Nothobranchius furzeri: one gene and its partner. The protein of the gene in region 2 interacts with the protein of the main gene of each other region in a pairwise test. Links are inferred from orthologs where the notes say so. Each region holds a gene or a part of one and is shown on either strand. Other genes may lie near its edges. The genes, in order: mybpc3 and myosin-7.

Region 1 (3,817 bases), on a different chromosome or scaffold from region 2:
AAAACCCAAAACACCGGATTTGTTTTGGCTCAAGTGCAGGGGGACGAAAAAGGGCCACGAGAGAATAATAATTATAATAAAAGGACTACAACCTATTACTACTACTAATCATAAATAAGCACGTTTTACTCTACTAAATATCAGATTTCTCCAAACAAACTTTTTTTTATCAACTATCAGCAAAGTGAAATATTTAATAATATTTTGCACCTAAAACCGTTCCTGTGAAAGTGTAGATCTCATTCTACGTTGCTTCTGTTCCCACTCTAAAATTCAATTTAAAGGACCTGTATTGAACCACCTTGGTTTGAAAGGATCTCCCCTCTGGAATGAAGGTAGTTATTTTCTGATTGTTTCACATGCCGCCGCTTCGCTTCACATCACGAGCAAACGTGAACTTAGTGTGATTTGGCATCATGTGATGACCTTTACAAACAACAGCAAAGGTTTGAGAGTCAAATACAAGGAATAAACACAGAAATGTGGTACCGGCAGTCCAAGCGGAGCGCGGCTCGGAAGGTCGCCAAGGCAAAAACCCGGGCATGGGAGGAGTTCGGTGAGACCATGGAGCAAGGCTCCTGTACGGCTTCGAGGAGATTCTGGTCCACCATCCGGCGCTTCGGGGGGGAAAGCAGTGCGCTACCAAGACTATCTATAGTGGGGACGGTGTGCTGCTGACCTCTACTCAGAATGTTGTGGATCGGTGGGCAGAATACTTCAAAGACCTCCTCAATCCCACCAACACATCTTCCAGTGAGGAAGCAGAGTCTGGGAACTTTGGATTGGCCTCTCAAATCTATGGTACTGAGGTCACTGAGGTGGTTAAAAAGCTCCTCTGTGGCAAGGCTCCTGGGGTGGATGATATCCGACCGGAGTTCCTTAAGGCTCTGGATGTTGTGGGGCTGTGTTGGCTGACGCTGCTCTGCAATATCGTGGACATCGGGGGCAGTCCCACTGGACTGGCAGACCGGGGTGGTGGTTCCCTTATTTAAAAAGGGGGACTGCAGGGTGTGTTCCAAATAAAGGGGGATCACACTCCTGAGCCTTCCTGGTAAGGGCTATTCAAGGGTTCTGGAGAGGAGGGTCCATCGGATTGTTGAACCTCAGATTCAGGAAGAGCAATGTGGTTTTCGTCCTGGCCGTGGAGCACTGGACCAGCTCTGTACCCTTAGGGGGATCCTGGATGGTGCGTAGGAATTTGCCCAACCAGTCTACATGTGTTTTGTGGATTTGGAGAAGGCGTTTGACGCGTCCATCGGGAGGCCCTGTGGGGGGTACTCCGGGAGTATGGGGTACCAGGCCCTCTGATATGGGCTGTTAGGTCCCTGTATGACCGGTGTCAGAGCTTGGTCCACATTGCTGGCAGTATGTCGGGCTCATTCCCAGTGAGAGTTGGAATCCGTCAAGGCTGCCCTTTGTCACCGATTCTGTTCATGACCTTTATGGACAGGATTTCTAGGTGCAGCCAAGGTGTGGAGGGCATCCGTTTTGGTGGCCTGAGGATTAGCTCTCTGCTTTTTGCACATGACGTGGTCCTGTTGGCTTCATCAGAACGTGATCTTCAGCTTTCGCTGGAGCGGTTCGCAGCCGAGTGTGAAGCAGCTGGTATGAGAATCAGCTCCTCTAAATCTGAGACCATGGTCTTGATTCAGAAAAGGGTAGAATGCCTTCTCCGGGTCAGGGATGAGGTCCTGCCCCAAGTGGAAGAGTTTAAGTATCTTGGGGTCTTGTTCACGAGTGAGGGAAAGCTGGAGCGTGAGATTGATAGGCGGATTGGTGCTGCATCTGCAGTGATGCGGGCGTTATACCGGTCTGTCGTGGTGAAGAGAGCTGAGTCAGAAGGCGAAGCTCTCGATTTACCGGTCGATCTATGTTCCCACCTTCACTTATGGTCATGAGCTTTGGGTAGTGACCAAAAGAACGAGATCGCGGATACAAGCCGCCGAAATGAGTTTTCTCCGAGGAGTGGCTGGGCTCTCCCTTAGAGATAAGGTGAGAAGCTCAGCCATCCGGGAGGGGCTCTGAGTAGACCCGCTGCTCCTCCACATCGAGAGAAGCCAGTTGAGGTGGCTCGGGCATCTGGTCAGGATGCCTCCTGGACGCCTCCGTGGTGAGGCTTTCCGGGCACGTCCAACCGGCAGGAGACCTAAAGGTAGACCCAGGACACGGTGGAGGGACTATGTCTCTCACCTGGCCAGGGAACGCCTTGGGATTTCCCCGGAGGAGCTGGCCCAAGTGGCTGGGGAGAGGCAAGTCTGGGCCTCTCGCCTTAGTCTACTGCCCCCACGACCCGACTCCGGATAAGCGGATGAAAATGGATGGATGGATGGAATTTTAGACACAAATAACATGACAGTTTGTTCGTGTTTTGGTTACTGTGTACTGTATGACATTGCTCATTAAAAAGTAGACTAACCCAAAATAACTAAACTGCTTCATGCATTAAGTCAGAAAAGCTACATTTGCAATAAAAAAATACTCAAATCAAAGTTTTAACCATCAAGTATTTTCAAGATAACAATAACAGTTGTAGATTAATTTAACTTCATTTCCCTTTAAATACTTACGTGCGCCTAAAAGCTGCTCTTATGTCCAAACCTTCAGGAGCGCGGGCCTCTGAAAGGCACAGCAGACAGCAAGTGAGTCTTTGTGCAACACAATCAGCAAGGTGACAGGTCCACTAGCATCATAGCTAACACCCACCGTGGACAGTCAAATCAAAATTGCAGCTGTCAAACTTGTCCTTGGACGAAACCTCACATCTGTAACCTCCGGCAAAGTTGGCTTGAGCAGAAATGATCTGCATCTCAAAGGTGTACACCTGCAGCCACAAAAGACAAAGAGGCACTCTCCACTCAGGAGACAGATAGGTATTGTGGAAGTTTAAGCAAAAAAAAAGCCCCCAAGTGGCTGGTTTCAGTACATGTTTTGAGGCTTTCATACCACTTACCAAAAAAAAAAAAACCTCATAACTTCATTTCTGAACTGGTTTTCCTTGCTCAGATCTTGGGAAGCTGGTGCAGCAGTCCTCGGCTGAGAGCCAGGGGACATTCTGGACAGGTCTCCAGTCCATCACAAGTACACTGAGGGACAATTTAGAGTTTCCAATAGCATGCATGTCTTTGGCACCCAGAGAAAACCCACACATGCGTTAGGAGAACATAAAGAAAGGCTCCAGTTTTGAACCTGCAACCTTCTCACTGCAAGGCAATAGTGCTACCAACTGCACCAACATGCAGCCCAAATAAAAAACAAACTCAGTTTTTTGGCCCGATGATGACCGTTGTTGATCTATGTGGCTCTTACCGTGCTGCATCCTGTCCAAGTACTCATTAAAATATTTATGTGGAACACGACTTATGATGAACCATGATTGTGTGCAGGTGAGTAGGAGAGACTCTCAAGACTTCGAAAATATGGTTGTCATTTATAATACTTTGGCCCTCACTTTAGTAAAGTCCAAGCAGATGGATAGCATTGAGCCTTTTGCCCGTATTTAGCTGTTTGGTGTTGGCGTACCTTTGTGTTGCGATCAAAAGTCTCTTTTAGCTGCAGATGTTTCCCACACTTGCTGGAGAGGTCCATCCACTTTCCTTTGAACCATTTGATGCTCGGTTTCTTCAGCAGCGATTCAGCGTTGACTTTAGCAACAAATGTGATGTTTTCGCCTGAAAAGAACGCGTTGTTATACGGTTTCATCACTAAGGCATTCAATCCAACATAAAGTCAAAAATAGCTGCAGTTTTAGGCTTTTGTGTTCAACCACGTCTAAATTTCTCCCAGAATCCGACATCCATTTGTGCTCTAATGAAATGAT
Region 2 (3,817 bases):
CATTGGCTCGCATAGATTCATCAAGCTGAAGCTGAGCATCCTGGAGATGGACAGGAAGTATACAATGAGGCAAATACATATGTTGGGGGGCGACACAGTTCACAATAATGGCAAAACATTGGTTGCTGTTGACTTCAGTCAGCTTTTTTGTGTATTGCAGTCTGATCCACATGGTTTTGGTTTTTGATTTATTTTGAATGAAAAATGCTAAAATGTTGCTAACCCTTACAAACTCGTGTCTGCTTGCATTCGCTCTCAGACATTTGGCTATCCTAACATATGAAATGGAAATATGTATCAAAATACAATGAAAATACTAAAGTTTGCTTTCTATTTTGAATACTGAGCTGCATTAAGTTTGACGGAATGATTAAAGAAATCTTTGAATAAAGTTCAAACCTTGAGATGAGCGTGAACAGCCTTGAGTTGTTTCTGAGCCTCGGCCGCCTGCCTGTTGGCTTGGCTCAGCTGGATCTCCATCTCATTCAGGTCTCCCTCCATCTTCTTCTTCAAGCGGAGAGCTTCGTTCCTGCTTCGAGTTTCAGCCTCCAGAGAGCTCTGAAGAGTGTCCACAGCTCTTTGTTGGTTTCTCTTATTTTGCTCCATTTCTTCCTCCTTCTCAGCCAGCTTACGCTCGAAGTCAGCCTTTATTTGGTTCAGCTCAAGCTGGACTCTGAGAATCTTCCCTTCCTCGTGCTCTAGTGAGGCCTCGAGGAGAGAAAACACAGATCCAGTGTTAGGAATCATCACCTGATTGAGTGTTTTGGAATTCAAGAGCTAGGTGTTGTTTGAATCCTACCTCTGCTTCTTCCAGAGCAGTTTGAATCTCAGACTTCTCTTGTTCCAGCTGCTTTCGAATCTTCTCAAGCTCATGAATGTTCTTTCCTCCCTCACCAATTTGTTCAGTCAGGTCAGATATTTCCTCTAAGAGAAAAATGTTGACATTCTAGGAATCGTTCTTTGTCGTAAAGTTCTGACCGTTCACTGACTGACCTTGTAAGTTCTTGTTCTCTCTCTTCATGGTCTCCAGATGCTCAAGAGACTCTTCATAGGAGTTTTTAAGTTTGAAGAGCTCCGTGCTCAGAGATCTGGCTTCCTTCTGGGAGCTCTCCAGCTCTGATTGAGACTCTTCGTACTTCTGCTTCCACTCTGCCAGAACCTGAAAGACGATGTATGTTTTATATAGATCATGTATTCTTTAGATGTGGTCAAAGTAACCAAGGGTCACAGAATGCAAACCTTGTCAAAGTTTCTTTGCTTCTTGTCCAGAGCAGCAGCAGCAGCGTTGGACCTCTCCACATCCACCATGAGATCTTCGATCTCATTCTGCAGCCTGTGTTTGGTCTTCTCCAGAGAGGAACATTTAGCATTCACTGCTTCAACGGCCTCCTCGGCCTCCTGCAGACGCTGAGCCAGCTTCTTCCTGAGTAACAGAAGTGGTTTCCAGGGTTAAACGCTGCTAATGTGTCTGAGTTACTCTGGTTAAGTACTCCTTTCCTCACTTTGCTTCCTCCAGTTCCTCGGTCCTCTGGATGGCATCAGTTTCATACTTGGTTCTCCACTGAGCCACCTCAGAGTTGGCCTTGGACATGCCGCGCTGCAGTTCAGCCTTGGCCTCCTGCTCCTCCTCGTACTGCTCCCTGAGGAGGTCACAGTCATGACGAGCAGACTGCACAGCATGGGCTAATGCGTTCTTGGCCTGGAATGAAAGCAGTTGTCTTAATTTGCTTGAATCAGCTTGCATTTTGTATTTGATAGAGTCTCAATTTATTTCTACCTTGATTTCTTCCTCCAGTTGTCTTTTGAGATCTTCAATTTGTTGTGTGTAGGACTGTTTTCCTCGGGTGAGTTGGGAAAGCAGGGAATCCTTTTCCTCCAAAATTCTTGTCAGTTCACCTGATAGAAGCAGGACGTTTTTTTTAAGTTTCCTTATTGCTACAAATTAAATGTTGAAGTTTTGTAATAATGAGAGTACCGTTTTCAGTTTGGAGCTTAGCCTTCTGCGTGGTGAAGTCATTGATGGTTCGCTGTCCCTCGTCTGCCTTTGTTTTATATTCGTTTAACTGGTCCTCCAGAGACCTACACATTTTCTCCAGGTGGTTCTAGGAAAAAAGAACACACACATTCCCAGTGTTAACTCATCTTCAACAACAATAAAGTATTCATCATCAGCCAACTTCCAGTAAAGCACCATTCACCATACGTACCTTAGTCTTGACAATCTGCTCCATGTTGGAGACCACGTCATCAAGTTCCAGTTTGAGCTCGCTCTTCTCCTTCTCCAGTTTCTGCTTGACTCTCTGCAGGTTGTCGATCTGCTCTCCCAGGTCAGCAACGCTGTCAGCTTGTTTCTTCCTGAGTGTAGCGGTGGTGGCTTCATGCTGCAGCGTGGCCTCTTCAAGGTCTCTGCGCAGCTTCTGGAGCTCAGCCTCCCTCTTCTTGTTCATCTCGATCTGGGCGGCTGTGGCTCCTCCAGCCTCCTCCAGCCTCTCACTGATCTCCTCCAGCTCTCTGGCCAGGTCTGCTCTCTGCTTCTCCACCTTGGCTCGAGCAGCTCGCTCTGCCTCCAGCTCTTCCTCCAGCTCTTCTATACGGGCCTAGAACAAACACAAGCTACTTTTATAATCTTCATTATCCTAATAATTTTTAACGTCATTTTGAAGTTTTTTGTGTGAATTTTGACCTGCAGCTCCTTCAGTTTCTTCTGGAGTTGGGCACTCATAACTTGTTCATCCTCTATTTTCCCGTTCAGCTGACTTATTTCAAAATCTTTCCTAAAGATGAAATGAGTCAAAAATATAAAAGGTATTTTCTAAATCTAGCATTCTTTAATTAGGACTTCTTACTTCTTCAGCCTCTCTTCAAGCTGCTGCTTGTCATTCTCCAGGTCCATGATACTTTCTTGGGCCAGCTTCAAGTCTCCTTCAAGCTTCCGCTTTGCTCTCTCCAGGTCCATACGGATTTTCTTTTCTTGCTCTAAGGACCCTTCAAGCTGCAGAGAGTTGTTAAAGAAGAGAATTTGATTAACTTAACTAAATAGTTTTTAGTCCACTTAATTGTGTAAACTCTCACATCGTCCACTTGCTGCTCCAGCTTGGCCTTGGCCTTGGTCAGAGTGTTGACTTTGTCTTCCTCACTCTGCAGGTCATCCAGCGTTTGCTGATGAGCTTCCTGTAAGGCTTTCTTTTCCTTGGTCAGCTTGGCAATGATTTCATCCAAAGCAGCCATCTCCTCTGTCAGGTTCTTGACCTGTAGCCAGGAACGACTTTTATTAGGTTTTCATAGAATAATCAGAAAATCGTCACTAATTTCAGTAAAGTAGCGCATGTCTTTAGTACCTTGTTCTCAGTGGCATGCTTCTCTTTCTCTACTTTTGCCAGAGTGAGCTCTAAGTCATCAATATCCTTCTTTAACTCAGAGCACTCATCCTCCAGCTTCCTCTTCTTTCCAGTCAGCTCAGCATTCATCTCCTCTTCGTCCTCCAGCCTTTCAGTCAGCTCTTTGATTTTTGCTTCCAGCTGAATCTTGCTCTTGATCAGACCCTCACAACGCTCTTCAGCATCAGAGAGATTATCTTGCTCCTATAATTTATTACGTGGAGTGTTGTTATCATACAATGAGATGATTTTGATGTGAACAATAATCTGCTATAACGTACAGTCTGGACTTGGAGCTGCAGGTCGTTCTTCTCTTGGAGAAGAGAGACCATTTTCTCCTCTAGTTCCTTCCTACGAGCTTCAGACTTTGCATAAGCCTCCTTCAGTTTGGTGAATTCTTCCTTCATGTTGGCCATCTCCTTCTCGGTCTCTGCTGATTT

Evidence for each region.
Region 1: the proteins of myosin-7 (region 2) and mybpc3 interact in a two-hybrid assay, tested with the Homo sapiens proteins (2 studies listed by IntAct). The link is inferred for Nothobranchius furzeri from reciprocal best matches to the Homo sapiens genes MYH7 and MYBPC3.

The regions. Positions count from the first base shown.
Region 1 is NC_091749.1:64,024,464-64,028,280, reverse strand, and holds part of mybpc3 (myosin-binding protein C, cardiac-type), read right to left. Parts: intron 3,669-3,817; coding exon 3,520-3,668; intron 2,822-3,519; coding exon 2,704-2,821; intron 2,617-2,703; coding exon 2,568-2,616; intron 1-2,567. UniProt on the Homo sapiens protein: Thick filament-associated protein located in the crossbridge region of vertebrate striated muscle a bands. In vitro it binds MHC, F-actin and native thin filaments, and modifies the activity of actin-activated myosin ATPase.
Region 2 is NC_091751.1:59,252,698-59,256,514, reverse strand, and holds part of myosin-7, read right to left. Parts: coding exon 3,659-3,817; intron 3,582-3,658; coding exon 3,339-3,581; intron 3,250-3,338; coding exon 3,073-3,249; intron 2,993-3,072; coding exon 2,847-2,992; intron 2,775-2,846; coding exon 2,684-2,774; intron 2,598-2,683; coding exon 2,208-2,597; intron 2,103-2,207; coding exon 1,976-2,102; intron 1,897-1,975; coding exon 1,778-1,896; intron 1,700-1,777; coding exon 1,503-1,699; intron 1,424-1,502; coding exon 1,240-1,423; intron 1,160-1,239; coding exon 994-1,159; intron 925-993; coding exon 800-924; intron 709-799; coding exon 400-708; intron 41-399; coding exon 1-40. UniProt on the Homo sapiens protein: Myosins are actin-based motor molecules with ATPase activity essential for muscle contraction. Forms regular bipolar thick filaments that, together with actin thin filaments, constitute the fundamental contractile unit of skeletal and cardiac muscle.